Linked DNA regions of Lytechinus pictus. The protein of the gene in region 1 purifies or fractionates together with the protein of each later gene. This does not show direct contact. Links are inferred from orthologs where the notes say so. Each region holds a gene or a part of one and is shown in the gene's direction. Other genes may lie near its edges.

Evidence for each region.
Region 2: the proteins of tyrosine-protein kinase CSK-like (region 1) and leupaxin-like purify together in Homo sapiens (affinity purification with mass spectrometry; 4 studies listed by BioGRID and IntAct, with this or other methods). This does not show direct contact. The link is inferred for Lytechinus pictus from reciprocal best matches to the Homo sapiens genes CSK and PXN.

The regions. Positions count from the first base shown.
Region 1 is NC_087249.1:16,400,126-16,409,069, reverse strand, and holds the start of tyrosine-protein kinase CSK-like, read left to right. Parts: upstream 1-5,510; 5' UTR 5,511-5,601; intron 5,602-7,068; 5' UTR 7,069-7,255; intron 7,256-8,689; exon of another isoform or gene 8,690-8,772; intron 8,773-8,944. UniProt on the Homo sapiens protein: Non-receptor tyrosine-protein kinase that plays an important role in the regulation of cell growth, differentiation, migration and immune response.
Region 2 is NC_087246.1:21,755,063-21,763,747, reverse strand, and holds the start of leupaxin-like, read left to right. Parts: upstream 1-4,591; 5' UTR 4,592-7,556; coding exon 7,557-7,578; intron 7,579-8,685. UniProt on the Homo sapiens protein: Cytoskeletal protein involved in actin-membrane attachment at sites of cell adhesion to the extracellular matrix (focal adhesion). Recruits other proteins such as TRIM15 to focal adhesion.

The DNA.
Region 1 (8,944 bases):
ATCTCAAAGTTAGATTATCATGAAAATGTATTTTTTTCTCACTCGCTTCGCTCGCTCAGGACTTATATCAGTCAACTTTTGCCACACCCTCCATGCTGCCAGTGCCCCTCTTTTTATTTTTATTCATAATGTATACTGCCGCATAGAGCTTCGCCCTAATACTGGCACCGTCACAATGGTCATTAAAAAAGTGTTCGAGGTGGCGTACAGACTAGGAAAAGAAAGAGAAAAAGACAGAGAAAAGGGTGAAATTTGATATCATTGTATGAATATTCTGTCAAAATCTATCACAAAATTTGATTTTTGTAATAAAGGTCTCGATATTTTCGCTCGCTTGCAACTTATTATTTTTTTGGCCCCATACGCCATATCTTGCCCCCTCAAAATCTTTCTCTCATTACACCACTGCCTGTTCATACCATGAAAGACCGGAAATTTTTTGGCTCCCCCCTGACCGCCGACTCTTGTTGCGCCCCTGAACTCTCGTCATATCAAACTGAACACGCTCCAGACATACCCCAGTCGTGCCTTGTAGTCGTATTTCCCTGAAGTCCTCCACCTCCTGGTTTGGGGGTTTTTGGTTTTGGTAATTGAATTCATGAGCATACTATATAGAAGGCAGGATTTGCACATTATTCAACATTTTGACTGTATTAACGTGTATCTAACATTACATTGGTTAGAGTGGAGACCCAAAAGATTATCTCTTCTTTGCGCACAATGTAATCCCACTTGCCCGATATAGGTACTATTTTTTTTTTTGGGGGGGGGGGGTGTCATTAAAAAAAAAAAGCTTAATCTAAATTGTATTTTAAAATGTGCCTTTCGTTAAATGCTCTGCATAATTATTAATACAATTATGATAAAGCGAATAAAGTTCATTTTGACTTTGCGATCGTTGTGATGTAAGCCGGTGTGTATAAAGTCGTGCATATAACATGTTAAAAATAAAGGCAAAGTCAATCCTTATAAGTTGGCTTAGACAAAAGGAGAAAAATCACCAAGCAGTATGTTGAATGTTTCATTGGAATCAAATGTAAATTTAGTTAAGATATTTTTAAACTTTGATCGACATCGCTTGATAATGCATCCAGTGGCCCAATAAATCCCAGACGTATTTGCCAGGTGTTTCAATGACCAGGAAATCGACGAATGAAAAAGACGAGAGACAAGCATCATAAATGCAAAAAATGTATTTAAAAAAATGAAATAGGGTTGAAAAAAAAAACGAGACACGCTTCTTCAAATATAGAAATAAAGTTCAGAGCACTAGGAACGATTTCAAGATGGGGGTGCTGGCGGTTTTGTTCAGGGGTTGTCGTCAGAAAAAATAAAGAAGAAAAAATGACAAGCAAAACAAATCCCCGTCGTTTGGGGGCAATAACCTTACTTTTTTTGCTTGTCATATCGATTTCCAAGGGGGTGCTGCCTATGGTAAATACATACACAGCATCCCAGCAACCTCGCTTCCCAGGGCCAAAAATATTATGTAAGAAGATATAGATAAGACCACAAAAGATGTAAAAATGACAGAAAAGTAAATATATAGGGGGAAATGAGGTCACTTTAAGTGTGAAATTGATTGCATATAGGTGAAAATGAAACCGTGATTAAACACAGAATTCCTTCTTCGACTCATACTTTGTTACATTGAATGACGGTTACTTTACTGTCAAACCGAATGAAATGAAAGCTAATTTGAATGATAATTTCGCTTTTTCCAATGATAAAAAATAGAAATGAACACAATACTTGAAACACGGGAAAAACGCTGAAGCATAATCTAATAGAATATCCTGTCAAAATTGGCCGGGAAAACTATATTACGATAGTGATTCCATTGTGCAGTTCAGCTTATGGTCAAGAGGTTTAACATTATTGTCTCAGAAGTGATTCCCTTTTTTTAATAAATAAAACAATTAAATATAGACTCTTTGAAAAAAAAATGGCACTCGCTGATTACAGTGAATGGCACATAAAGAGATAATAATCCTGACACTATCCAAGCTGTTGAAAAGTAAACTGTATTCTCCCCCTTTATTTTGCAATTTTGATTTCGCTTTTCACCATAAGTAGGTGCATAATCAGTTAGAGGAAAAAACAAACAAACAAACAGATCACCACTTTTTGTATTGTTTTTTTTATGAGAGCACAGTGTTCACCTTCCCTAATATATCTTTTATTTACATGACTTTTGTTTCACCCATTATTACAAAACCTCAATCGTAGAGGGGGGTATGACAACTTACTTTTCAGCGCATATGAATTGGTAAACAATGAAACGCGGAAATAACAGATGGGATTCAGATTCCATTAAAAGAAAGAGAGAGGGACGGGGAGGGGGTGAGAAAATTGGAGAACTCCATTTTTATGAGAGAAACACGGTGGGAAAAAGAAAGAAAGAAACAAAAGCAGCAACGGTGAGGGGGGGAGGGAGGGTCTATAGTCAGGCTCTGGAAAATATCAGGGGAGTCATCTCCCAGGATCAGAACAAACAACAACGACACAAAAAAAAAAAAAACCACACCAAGTCATCATAAGGGCATGTGTCATAAAGAAATACAACTACAATGACTTATTTGCCATTATGCAACTACAATGGAAACCGTGATTGTGATTGCATGGCTGCTGAGCACAACTTAGTTGTTACCATAGTTTCCATAATTATAAATGGTAAAGATACCATGGTTATCAAACGGGACCTAGGTCATAAGCATCTATTTTTTTTTACTCTTTAAATTTGAAATTTTCTCCCGGAATCTACAGTCACGAGTTTCACGACCCCTCATTTTGGCGCATATCACCATAACCGCACAAAATACCTTATTTTTACGTCCCGGCATCTGTTCCGCCCCGTTATCCCGGCCTGTGGGAAATATGCAACAGTTATTTCTTTCACTGATAATCCCAAACTCTGTAAAAAAAAATATAATATGAAAATAAAAGTTAAAAAAAAAATGACGAAGTCTGCATTTATCTTCTGCATGCTCTCAGAACTGAAAAGGGTCGTCTTTCATATCAAAATACAACATTGTTGACAGAACTATAGTATTGATACCAATATATGAGGCCTATATTTCTGTAAGGAGATGGTTAAGTAATTTTAGCCAATAGGGTAGGTTTATGGATCCCGGATTTCGTAAGGGGGGAATATCTGAATTCCGATCAGAGCAGATTTCTGGAGGCACATATATGCCTTAATCTGGTATAGTACTCTAGTAAAGTTGGACTGATACGCAAAATATACAGGGGCTGATTCAGCATTTGCTAATAACAAAGGGGAGGGGGGGGGGTGCTGGACAAGTTTAATCCATATATCACCAGGTCGGCCGCACGAAGAGCACCTCTTTTGTGGGGGGGGGGGGAGTAGTCGTAAAGATCGAAGTTTAAGTATGCTTTCATGTAAACGAAAAGCGCAAGTAGATTTATCTTTTCATTTATTAATATATATATATAATTATGTTAATGGTTAATGTATTAAAACCTATATGCATATCGAGCATAATAGGCCTATATTAATGCGAGCACGTAAACTGAAATAAAAATAAGCGCTTGTTTATTATATATATATATAATATAGGCAAAGAGATAATGCATTTATATAGTTCCAACAGAGTTTATTTCCAAGTCCAAATTTTCGACGTAAATCCCACGTCTTCTTCAGGGATACAATAAAGCTCACAGATTCCCATATATATATATATATATATATATATATATATATATATATATATAATCTATATATATGTATATATATATATATATATACAATGCGTCCCCCAAAAATATACACTTTTGAAATGGCTGCCAAATAAAAAATATATCACTTTTGGGAAAAACACGTACATACATGGAAGCCAATAAAGTCAACTTTCAAATGACACCAAAAAATTGGAAAACTCTTCATGCTTGAGCGAGCACTGCCCACTGAAACAAGGGGCATGAAAATTAGGCTGGGCCGGAATTAGCCTTCCAATTTCTGTCAGTTTTTGAGAGGCAAATCCTTTGGAACTTGCAAAGTTTAAGAGTGTTGTGATAAATTAATGACCAACCGTGACCAGTTTTGGTTGTTTAAGCAAATTTCATAAATTATTAAATTGAATTTTAATGCATGAGTGAACACAAATTACACTTTTTGGGCAGCATTTCAACTATATCATGTGGATCTCAGCAATGTGTTCATGGGAGTCGGGAGAATAAGGGGTGAGATATAACTTAAGTGGGAGAAGTAGGTTGATGGAATAAGGGTCAACAAAACATGTAGCCCCCCTCCCTCTCTCCCGCCCTCCCCTCCTGTAGAGAGACTGATTGCTATTGTCATGTACAAGTGAAGTCCAGCTAGAGCAGAATGCTGATTTAATGATAAATTCTGAATTGGGGCATCAACTTAATCCTATCAATCATTTGATCAACAATTTATCAATAAATAAACTCATTCAGTGTGCAATGTGATCAATCAAACATTCATTTTTTCAATATATTATTTCATAAATCATCATAATCAGTCAATTTCTTGGTAATCATTCAATGAAATAAAAAACTGACCATCAGCCACCGGTCACTTGGCAGTTAAGTTTTGAATAGGCTACACTCCAGGTGAGACCATGGACCTATACTATATAGCTATATAGTAGGTTCATGGTGAGACAGAGAGAGAGATAGAGCCGGGGAAATGGAGGTGGAAGGGGGGGGGGTACAAATGAATTTTAATTTGTAAAAGGACAAAGAAGAGGAATGCCCTTTTAACCTAGTCTTACCATATCTCGCCCTCTTGCTTGTAACATATACCATCACATTTGACTCTGACTCTCACGAACACACTGGTCAGGTCATACACTAAAATTACAATTCTTGCTCACTCATGCATTAAATTTCAATTTAGTAACTCATGAAATCTGCCTATAAGAAACCATACCTTATCTCACTCATTAATTTAGCATAACACCCTTAGCTTTGCAAGTTCCAAAGGACTAACCTCTAAAAAAACTGTAAGGCTAATTCCTGCCCAGCCTATAGCCCAGCTTAGTCTCTCAGGAGGAGAGAAGTAGTGGGATCTTTTTCTTTTCCCTTTTTTCTCTATCTTTTTTCTATTTCCTCCCCCAGCTCTCCCAAACTTCTCTCTCTCCCAATTTCCCCTTCCCTTTCTTTCTCCTCTCCCTTCCCTTTCTTTTCCTCACCCTCTCTTTTCCCTAAAGTTAGGAGTTGGCTTTATATATATATATATATATATTATTGTCTAATACTGATAAATTCTTTAATCTTTTTCTTTTCCTTCTCATATTCTCTCTTAGCTCCCGGCTCTCCCTCTCCATCTCTAATCTCCCCATTCCTTATCTTTCCCCTCTCCCTGTTCATTTGTTTCTTCTTTTTATCTTTTCTCCCTTCCTTTTCTTTTCCCCTCTTCCTTTTTCTTTGGGGGGGGGGGGGGGGGCAAGGCCCCTTCGGTCCCCGCCCCCATGCCATGCCTCGCAATTACAGTAGTGGAATACAATCGAATCAATGATCGTGAAATGAAAGAAAAAAGGAAAAACGTCAGGGAGGAGGTGATATTTCCGGCTTCTCACTCCAGTAATAATCAACATTTTATAAGTTTTAATTCAGGTAAGACTGAAAATTATCATATGTTAGTGTTCTAAAGAGTATGTGAGTTAATTTTCTGCTGGCCTATTGGTATTTTTCTGGCAAATACAGTGTAAAAACGATATATATTTCTCTAGCACCGGGTAAAAAAGTGAGCCTAGTCCCTTGTGCTCGATTTTATGTAGTGTTGACTTGTTATTATGCGGTAGTCAGTAGATAACGTTAGCATTATTTCCTTTTCGGCAGCAGTGTGGCAATTATTATTGTTATTGTTTCGTGTTAGGCATTCATTAAGGCGCTAATGCAGTTTCGCACCGGCCGATTACCAGCATACCTCATCACCAATAGGCCTACTTGTTCCCAAATCAAAATGTCATGACAAGTCTCTCTCAGACTCAGAGACTCAGACTCAGTCACATTTCGAGGTAAATATACCCACCTCTTTGCCAAATATCGTGATCGGGAATGGCTGTATTTCAGCTTTGATTTCGATGTCATTGTTCGAATCCTCAGAGTCAGACATCACTTCGCGGATCGCTTGGATTCGCCGTGCGCCGTAATGTTGATATGGACTGAAGTTAGCAACCAAATCATGCGAACATGTGGCGAACAAACTGCCAGCATGCTGCAGGCGAATCTTTTGGTTGCATAACTTCAGTCCATATCAACATTACGGCGCACGGCGAATCCAAGCGATCCGCGAAGTGATGTCTGAGGATTTGAACAACGACATCGAGATCAAAGCTGAAATACAGCCGATCTCGATATTTGGAAAAGAGGTGGGTATATTGACCTCGAAATGTGACTGAGAGACTTGTTATGACATTTGGGAACAAGTATTGGTGATGAGGTATGCTGGTAATCGGCTGGTGCAAAACTGCATTAGCGCCTTCATTAATATATTGCAAGGTAACTATAATAAAGTAATATCGACGTGTGAGCTCAAACTCGCGCTCGCTGGGCATCACTGCCACTGGCAATTGCTGTGACTGTTTGGCCGAATCGCTGCAGAGACAGTGCTGCAGCAGAGCTCTGCATGTGCCAGGCAATAGCAATGTGCTAACTCGGCCTGGGGAGCTCCGCCACCTCACTTTGAGCCTTGATTTTGTCGAGTCTCACAGCTAGTAGCCTGACCAAGTCTCGATCTCGACAGCTGGCAGCCGTGTCTGTTTCGAGGAGTTTTATAACATTTTTATAAAAAAATTCTCTGACTCTTACACAGACGGCTCGCTATCGTGCAGCCACCATTAGGGTTTAACAATGCAAAATCCCCCCGAAGGGGCTCATCAATTTTTTACTTTATTTAATTAAAATATATAAAAAGAACTGATTACAAAATAAAGATTATTATTCTGTTTTGGCCTGAAATGCACCAAAACGGGGAAAATAAACTTAAAAGGGGGAAAAAACAGTGACTTACTTCGGCTGTCGCTCAACTTCACTTCCCTGTTTTATGCGAACTTAACACATAAACATATGGCTGTTCAGTCCCTGTGCAGATTGAGCTAGAACTTCGGTGTCTGTATTTGGTATTAAAGTGGAGCCAACAGAGTTCAGCGGAACAGCCAACATAACAGTCAGAGACCGAAGCTTTTGGTCTAGACCAAGACATGCCGCTTGGCGACAGAGTTTCTCTATGATTGGTCTCGCAGCTTGAAACAATCGTTTCGCATTTGTAAGTTGGGAAAAAAATAAATATTGATTCTTCAGTTGAATACAGCATAAATTCTACATTTTCCGAGATTTGACAGGCAATCATATTTTTACAAGCCAGAGCAACACATTTATCAAACACAGTAAATGGTAATTCATCACAAGAAAGTCCCGATATCAACACCCAAATCCCATTTAAATGCTGAATCTGCGCCATATTTCCAAATCACGCAAGAAATATTTAGATCTTGCTTCTTGGTAGGTCTGGAACATGTTTCATAAAGAATTGATATAATAACATACGCACAATGTCTATAACAAGTTCACTATCAGCCAATCAGATTGAAGGATTTCAATAGCTTTTAACTGTTATTGAAATTTGTTTTTATAACAAGTTTTATGAAACAGAAATCAGGTAGGGTTACAATGACTTGTGGTGCGATGCACGTCAGTGGCACTCCCATGCAATGACATGTGACACTTATGCTGAATCACAGCGATGCCTTTAGTTTACAACAATAATATAACCTTTATTTTTTTGTCTTTTTGGTCTTTTTAAACAAGGCTGATTTTGCCAATTTGTCAATTTTCTTTTTTCATTGTTTATTTCTTCCTTTAATTCCATTAATAAGTTTCCTTAGGTACACAGTATCTCAAAGTACTCTATAGTTTTATGCACCGGATTAAACAAAATACTAAAAAATTAAAGAAAGCTCCACCTTCCTTCCACATACTCTCCCACCCTCTCTCTTTTGGTGTGGCTTGGTCGCTTTGCTCCCTTGCATTGTTTCTAATTTTAGGATAATTCTCTTGGCAAATCATAATACATCCCTGAATTTGATGTGAAGACCTGATAAAAGTAGTTAAAGATGGCAAATTCGTATTTCAGATGTTTTAAACAAAAAAAAAGGAGAATGAAATACTAAATGTTAAAGATGCATTTTAAGCATGGCACAAATAATGTAAGTGCAGGAATTGGTTGACTAGGTTTGTGGTACATGTTTCAGCATAAATGTGAAACAATCATTTTTACATTGTACTATTTGTAGAGTAGTTTACACAGGTACATGTGTCTGTAATGATGACAGAAACATTCAATTCACTGTTCATTTTATTTTAGACTGCATAGCCATTTGGTTCCCATACTCACTTAAAAAAAGACATCAGCTGCTTTGATACAGTAAAAACAAAGTGAAATTACTGCAATACATACAGCATTATTGACACTGTAGGCTTATTCATAAATTGGACGAAGTACAGCAGGGTACTATATAACTTTAGAAGCACTTGCCCGGTCGGGCAAGTAAATTTTTAAATAGTTGGAATATACTTGCCCGAAAATCTATTTCACTTGCCCGAAGAAATCCTTGAAAAAAAAAGTTTTACCTCTTCAAAGGAAAGTTTCTTTTAATATTTAACCCTAAAGGCACTGGGGGGGGGGGGGGCGTGATAATCTGAATTCTAAAAACAAAGAAATACATGTACATCAGGAAGAAATTTGCTTTCTCAATTTTTCTTTGTGGAAACTTTTGAATTACCGTAAGTAACGGTGTATTAACCGCACCTTTTTCTCGGCGGGATATAAGCAAAAGTCGGGGGTGCGGTTTATACACGGTGACGGGTCTGAGCCCGCCCGCGTAGCCCCTCCCGAACATGTAAGAAGTCTGCCAGTTCACAACACATCGAGTGGCCGGCCGTAGCCGCCCAGTGC
Region 2 (8,685 bases), on another chromosome or scaffold:
CCAACACAGATAAGCGCACGTGGGACAGTGTATAATTATTGCTTTGAGCGTCGGGCCCGACGCTCTACCCGAATCCTGTGCTTATTTGCTGATTTCTCAGCAATTACACAATTTCTTCCAGAATCCTTTGGCACATGCGTTTTATTTATACAAACAGACACTTTGGTGGTCATTTCATTGGATTCTGTACGAACTCATTTTGATATCGTTACCAAAACTAGCATTTACCTTTAACAAGTATTGGAAACAAAATGATACCCTTGAAAAGAACCCTGAATTGAGCCCCTTAACAAGTACAACAATGTCTGTAATAACTGTTTGTCACGGACATGATCATGGACGTCTGCTTATACCTTTTACTTTCATTGGGCGGGGGAGTACTACCCCACACACCTCGCTCGATTTGGACCCTAAGCACGTAGTGTTGGGGCAAAAAGTACATCTACAGGTTGTAGGCCTATAGTCTTTTTATACCCTCGCAAATTGGACCGTAAACACAAAGTTTTCCTAGCAAAATATATACCCTTTTTTCATTATTTTATTGTTTTTGACACGTTACGTACGTAATAAGCCCTATCTTGAAAAAGAGATCCTTTTTACGTGTATTTTTGGTCATGCATGGTATCCATTTGTCAATGGAAGTACCCCCCCCCCCGGTACTCCAGTCAGCTTTTTAGGCCTACATGTAAGTCCTGCATCCCATTGTAGGAAGAGTAAAAAAAATCAAGTCCAAGTCCTTAACCAGTGTCTATGAATCTAACATTACAGTTGTTTTGTTTTTTTTGTTTAAATAAAAGTCTTCTTTGAATTTAAATAGGCTGTTTTTAGGCCTACATGTACATGTACATGTATGCCTTAAAATACATATATGTTTTCAACCTTTTCATGTTTGTCTTGCCTGCATACATTGGCAGAAGTGAGACATACATGTACATGTAGGCGCCGCTTTTCTGAGGTTGGTGGTGTAGTCAACATCTATAGAACTAAGCATAAGTTTTTGAAATATCACCAGAATGTTGTTCAAGTATAAAGACCCGTTTTATGATCTGCTAGACTAGGCATTCCACTTGTTCTTGAGATTTCTCAATTTTTCTTTGTCAGTCTCAGAAATTTGTATTTTGAACTGTATGTCCCTACATAATATCAGGTATTATCGACAATGAGAGAAAAGTTATCGATATCGCTATTTGCTAAGTGGCAAAAAACATGCGTTTATCAACAAGACTAGCGATAAAGAGGTTATTGATAACAGCACTACTTTCAAAGGTATATACATGTTGGTCTTGATAGTATGCCTACATGTACTCCTTGTGGTATCGTGAACTATAATAATGTCTGAATAAGCAGACTAAATGAAGGATGGACTTGTGGTATCATTAGCATATCATGTTTATTTAGAGAGTGGAATGCCAAACAGCTTGGTGTTTGACCTTAGATGACACCAAGGACCTCTGTATGAATGAGGTCAAGATCTAAAGAATGAAGAAGTTGTGACTGATCCCCATCTGGGCATCCCTCTCTCTGAATATTAGTCTACACCAAAAGCAAATCAGACCCATTTGTTATTTTGTCTTTATTTTTTGTACTTTGATTTTACTTGTTAATAATTGTGTGCTAGGTAATATAATTGGTTTTATGTAAAATGTGGCTGATTGGTGCAGATGACACTCTTAAAAGCAAAATAAACTATCAATCAATCAATGTAGGTCCCATGTAAGGGGAATTAGGTCGAGGCTACAGATACTTTGTATTTCTGTATTTTTAGGGCAAGGGCACATTTTATATTAACAACGCAAATGGGGAAATGAAAAAGGCAAAAAAATACATGTACATGTATAGGCCTATTTAGGGCCAAAGAGAGGGACATTGCAAGGCTACCGGTAATCAATTTTTTTTCCGGGGGGGTGGCAAAGCTCTTCAAATGTTACAAATTTATTAATTTCACATGCGAAGAATGATAATGTCCATTTTGAAAGACTATTTCTGTCTGTCTGGTCTTATGGTTAATCTGGATGCTCCAGGAAATGTGGCATTCTTGGCATTGTTGACATTGACTGCAAATTATTTATTGCCTATCCAGAGCAGTGAATGATAGCTTATTTGAGTGGAAGAAATAGCAGGATCCTCATGAGTATCAACCTCACTAGGCGGACATGAAAATAAATCTACATGTAAGCTAAATGATACAGATAGTATAAAAAATAATGATTAATAATTCAATATTAAGATTTAGGCCTATGTACTGTACATGTGGTGAACTTTCCATCTTTATTTATGCTAAAGGTGCTTCAGGACTTCAGAGCGAATGAACGACACCAATTAATAAATTGAGGTCTATCAAAAACATTCTTATACAGTGGATCCTATTTCTTCAGTGTGCAAGTAATCTATTACTCCTTTCAGACTGGTCTCTTCATTTTTCCCCGGCGAACTTCTCTGGCATGCATTCCTCACTTCCCCGGCGAAGAAAAAATATGTACCCTTTTGCACTTCCCCGGCGAAAGGCGATTGGTAATTTGCTCGGGCGGAAGTAAGTGCAGACCCGGTGTCAATGAAAGCGTGCGCTTTTTTTAATTTGAATTTTTATTTTACTCTTTTCTTATTAATTGCAGACACCTGATTAATTCTTACAGTGAAGTTTTGGAGATGACGGCAGGTAAACACTTCTCAGCTGCTCCTGCTGATCAGCTCACTCAGCAGGTGCATGCAGAATTAGAACGAACAAAAATAAAATGAATTGTAAACATTGCTTCTTACCGATTACAAAAAGGTGTTAAAATATAAATTACAACCAATTCTAGAAATATTAGAAGCAAAACCAAAAAAAAATCAAAGTATTTTGATATTTTAAGCGCATTTCCAGCATGTAAAATAATGCTTTTATAATGAATATCGTTAGTGAAAAAACAAACTGTATGTTCGAGGGTATTTAACTCTATGGAATTATTGAATCGCTCATAAAGCTTGGCCTTCTACATTTATCCACGGAAATAATAGCTACATGTAGCTAGCGCGCGGAATCTCAGTTCAGGGGATTTCGGGGAGAAAAAAATGACCTCTGACGTCATCAAAGAGGAGAAGTTCTCCGGTTACCTTTCATACTGGCTGTTTCACTGGCGAACTTCGCCGGGAAACAGTTTCCCCAGGTCTACACTCTCATGCACATCCTTTTTTTAGAAGATAAAAAGTTTGCTTTGGGGTGGGGCAGATGGGAGCGGTCAGGAGGGTCCATGTACATATGTATTTGTATGTAGGCCTGAAAAGCCCTGGGGTGGTATTCTGAGATCCATTTTATCTCAGTTAAAATAAAATATTTTACCTCCGTTAAAATCAGTGAGATAAAATACCCTTAAAATCTCTCCGAATTGGTATTCTGAGAACAATTTTATCTTCATTTTATCTCTGTAAGACACACCTATTTTTTAATCAATATCCAATTAGAAACGCGCTTTTATAGCTCTCTCATATCACTCAACCAATGGAAATCCATTCCGCTAGGAGGTGTGGCAAAGGAGTGAGATTGCGTCAATTTATTGACTTCAATACGCTTGCACTATACGCTTGCGCGTCTTTACAGAGATTTCTTTTTAACTAAAATTGCATTACTCTCATCTCTTTATCGATGTCTATATCGCATCTTTTCAAGCATCATTTCAAAGACAATATTAGTCAAGAAAAGAAATGCTTCCTGATTGTACAGGAATAACTTTAAGGTGTTGTTCTCAATGAATCTATAATTTCTCTTAAATTTCATGCCAACAGTTGGAGTTAATTCACCTAGAAATATTGACGAAATCAACGTCGCGGAGATAAAATAGCCCCTACCCTCTTTTAAGGTTATTTTATTTTTTCTTCAAAGTAACTTGGGCGCAAGCACATTACCCGCTTTGCAATGGCCAGATACGCGATGGGTATGTCTACGCAGCCACTGCTCTGTTGCGTATCATCATAGATACGCAAGATAAAATTTATAAGCATGATAAAATGTTAAATTTTATCTGAGAGATAAAATGTCATCTCAGAATACCAATTTCATTTTAAGAGATAAAATAAAATATTTTAAAGATAAAACGACCTCAGAATACCGCCCCTGATATTCAGTGGTGTGTGTGATGACTCACATACATGTACATGTAGGCTATGTCATGTTCATTTATGTTTTTATCTCCATGAAATGTCACCTACAGTAGCAGGCAATATACTTGTAACTGGTGCATTAATGAGCAGTCATGCAGAAAAGTCATGTATTGGAAGAGATTCACATATTGGCCACATTTATTTGAGTAGACTATGACTGCAAATTTGTAATGCATGTTCAGGCTCCTCATTATCATCTTTTGATAGTACCGGCTTCAAATCCCATGAGTGTTATTTGGAATATCAATCAGTGCATCAAATTCATACTGGATGGTGATTATAAAGAAAAAGAAATGGAAATTTTGCTCTTTAGAGATACCATGTACCGGTATGCACTAATAGATAGCGCAAAATGTATAGGCCTATACCTTCATTAGCCTATAGAAGAAGGTAAAATTTTGATGAGCAAATTGTTTATCCTTTTGTTCCAGTGTTCTTCTCCACTATACATCTAGGCCTACATATGTACTTGGTAGTGATGATTGATTTCTTTTGAACATAATTTTACTGGGTATTCTATTATCCAAGGGGGTTTTACAAACATGTAGCGCATTGATTTGGTTTGTTGGTTTCAAACCCAGGTTGTTGGATTACAAGAAACACTGTATTGCACAGTGCTGTGAATATACATTTGGGATATCAAAAAGTAATATTACATGTTCATGTATGTACCTCCATACTCTGCACTAGCCTGCATGGAAAGAAGTGTCATCGGAGGTGAAATGGTGCCATTATTTACAGTATGTCAGTGATTGATGGGGGCCAATGAGTGAAAAAGATTAAAAAGGATTTCACATCCCTTTCTGCACTTTCAAATATCAGGTGATATACATGAAGGAATGTTGCTGATATTTTGGGAGAGGTTGATGGCAGGACAAGGGGTTTTGCCCCCGCTCCTGTTGCCTCCAAATGGTTCTAAATTCTACTATCTATCTTATAAAGTAAAAAAAAAAGGTCTGGGCCCTTTCTATCAAAGAGTTGCGATCGAATTTATCAAACTCAAGTATTGAAAGCCAGTGAGTTTTCTTAGTTCTAAGAGTAAGATGTAACGAGCGATTGCGATTGAGTGATTGTTTGACCAACTTGCAAGTTAGTGTTGAATTGTGGCACTGCCGAATTGGCTTTAACATACAGTATATTGCTTGTGAGTTGTATTATAAACTCAAATTAACATTCTTTATGTCAACATGATTCGGTTAAAAATGATATGAAAAAAAGAATTATGTTTTTTGCCCTGTTGCAGTTAATATTCAAGTTACACATAACTTTATAAAGAAAAGGTTCTTATCCCTAGGATACTTTCATGTTTATAGCCAAACTAGGCCTTTAATAGCTTACATGTAATTTGTCGTGGGGCTGACTTCTATGATTGATTGCATTTATTAGTATTATTGATAAAAGTGTAAAAACCAGCCCATAGGGGCCCTGATTCTACCATAGAGAGAGCAAACAGAGGTTCTATCATTGATGGAGTTCATCCCTGTTTTAATGAGATGACATTCTGGAAACAATATATTCAGCTCAGATGGAGATGATGCATGGCACAGTTTGTAGTGATCATGACAGTGAGTGTGTGGGAGTATCATTTGTGTTGTCAGAAAATGTGACTGTCAGTATGTGAGGAGGGCCTGTAGACAGAATGGTATGTTCAGTTTTGATCTCCATCAGCCCCGATATCATCCCGCTATTTCTAGCAATATAAATCTATTTATTTCAATTTTGTGAACGTACTTTGCAGTGTTATCAAGATGTGATGTACATTGTAGAATGCTAAGAACTTCTCTGATTGCCGCTCCTCAATCATTACATTATTAATTCTTTCCTCCCTCTTCTGCATTCCGTCATCTCAATTGGTTTTGAGGGTATAAGGTTTAGTGTTGTACTTTTAATACTTGGCAGTGCTTTGTACCGACACACATTTCATCCAGTATAACTACATGTACATGTAGCTAGACAGGTACGGTGGCAGTTGCTACACTCTAAATATTTCAGAGGGCATGGGATTAGAGTTAAGATTGTAAATGTTATAGAGTTTTTGGTTAAAAGTAATGTTAAGAAAAGGATTGGAATTTATATAGTTTCGGAGGCTACATGTAGGTTTTATGTTTGGCTAAACGTGCAGATTTTCCATCAAAACAATTGTCGTCGGAGCAAATGTCATGGAACCATAACATACACAAGATCAGATTTTTATTCCAGTGTCTAGACCTACATGTACCTGCGATAGACACCAACAGTTTTGGATAGTAGATGAATTGCATGGTGGAAAATGAAAATATATAGCCCTAACCATGTGAATGTGATATTTTTTGTAGTCCGTCTTCAAAATCTTATTGAATCTGTGTTCACTTTAACAAGTATTGCTCCTTCACTTTCCTGCAACGAAAATGATGACTTCCTTTTGTTGAAATATTGTTTGATTTTAGATATTGTAATGTATCCTGGTCTACCATTTCCTCTCGACTAAGGATGCCACCATGAATTTATGGTATAGGTCCTTCACCTTTACTCATGTTTGGACAGTATGTGTTTCCTCTTGATGCTGATGAATATTCCACGGCACATTTCTCTCGTCAATGACATCTCCATTGCCCCATCCTTCTCCTCTTCTCTCGTTGCACCTCCTTTCTGCATTCTCTATTGATAAAAAATCCATCTTCTCCCCTTTCTCATTTTCACCCATCTCCTCTGTCTGTTTGTGTCACTCACCACTGCTCTCTCTTCCATTCTCTCTCTCTCTTCCTTCCTGTCATTTATCTTCCCTTCTAATAATATTGACATTCTGCCATTCTCATCTGTTCCCCCTTATTGCATCCTCCTTTCTTCCATTGTTTCTCTCCTCTTCCCTTCTTTTTGATTGGTTCCCTGCCTTCCACCCCTCTCTTTCTAAAAATCCACACCCTGCCCTTCCCACCTGCCCCACCCCTTCTTCCCAACACTCTTCTGGGAAACCTTAGTTTTACCCTCACACCTACATGTATGACACATATACTGTAGACATGAACAGGAGAGCAGATGTGTTGCTTTTACACACGAGGGACCATTGGATGCAGCCAAGTGATGCTGACAAGGATGCTCGTTGCCGTGATGGTGAGAGGCAGTCAGCGGGGCAGGGAGCATGCTCATATATGGGCAAAGGCCTTATCACATGTGAGACCCCACACTTGCTCCACTCCACTCCCCTCTGCACTGAGCTTTCTCTGTGTTATGACTAATACTCCGGTCTGAGGTCACCACCAGATGCTGCGTGTGCGTGCGGTAACCAAGTCATCTCGGTACATTTCTTTCAAATCCATCTCATTGCGTTTCACAGCCACCAAACATTGCTCACACTGTATGTAGGCTTATGTATTTCTTGTCTTCATAATATGTAGCAGGGATTATCCATCTCTCATTTGGAATATAATATTTTGCTGTAAATGTTGGGATATCTCCTAGAGGGTAAGGATCATGTGTGGTGTTTGTAATCTCTTTAGGCAATGGTGCTGGTGTTGATTGGCATGTAATTTACACTGTAGAAGACTTTATAAAATGCCAGCAGGTGATGGATGTTTACAAACATTGCCACATCCAAATGCTTTGTGAAGGATTGTATGTACATATTGTAGGCACTACATGATGTCAAGTGATCTTTGTATTTTTACCAGTACTTACTCTTGGGTAGTGGATTACCCTACCTAGATTACTTTGTACCATTCATTACATTTATAAATGGTACATGTACACACATTGCAATATTTTATACCTCATAGACAGAAAGCACTTTCACTTCTTACTGAGCTGAGACCTTCATCATACATGCATACACATCTCCATCATCTGTGGATCCAGGATTTCAAAATAAAAGATGCAAAAAACAAATTTGAAATTAGAAAGGGCGTAGATTACAACTTTGTTTAGATTTTGCTGTATGGTGTTCAATTGATGGATGTTTTTCGTTAGAGGGCATGCATCCCTTGTGCTTCTGCTCAGATCTGCCACTGCATCTTCATGTGCAATAGCCATGGAGTGGTAAATTTCTTTACTTATTCTCTCCCTTCAAAAGTAGGTCTCTTTCTTATACCAGCAAAATGGGGCTAACCTTTAGTTTCATATTAAAGGAATCACTTGATTCTTGTATACACTTCCATGTTCCTTTATCAGTATACATGTAGGTGACATGAAGAGCCAGGCAATGGTGGGATGGGTTACATTTGCTCTTGGCTCATGTTTTCGTTAAGAGAATAAAAAAACAGTTCCCAGCGAACTTGTTACTGCTGCATTCCAAAATGGGGTTAACCTTTAGTTTCAGTGTAAGGAATCACTTGATTCTTGTATACACTTCCATGTTCTTTTATCAGTTATGCGTGACATGAAGAGCCAGGCAATGGTGGAATGGGTTCCGGGAGGGGGGGGGGGCACTCACATTTATTGGTGGTATGGGGACGTGCCACTTTGATGACCCCCTTTTTCAGACCAAAAGTTCAGTTCAGAATCCGCCAAGTCCCGCTCACAAGACTCCCGTTTGGCGTTACGAGACATCTCAGTTCCCCAGCCCTGCCAAAATTG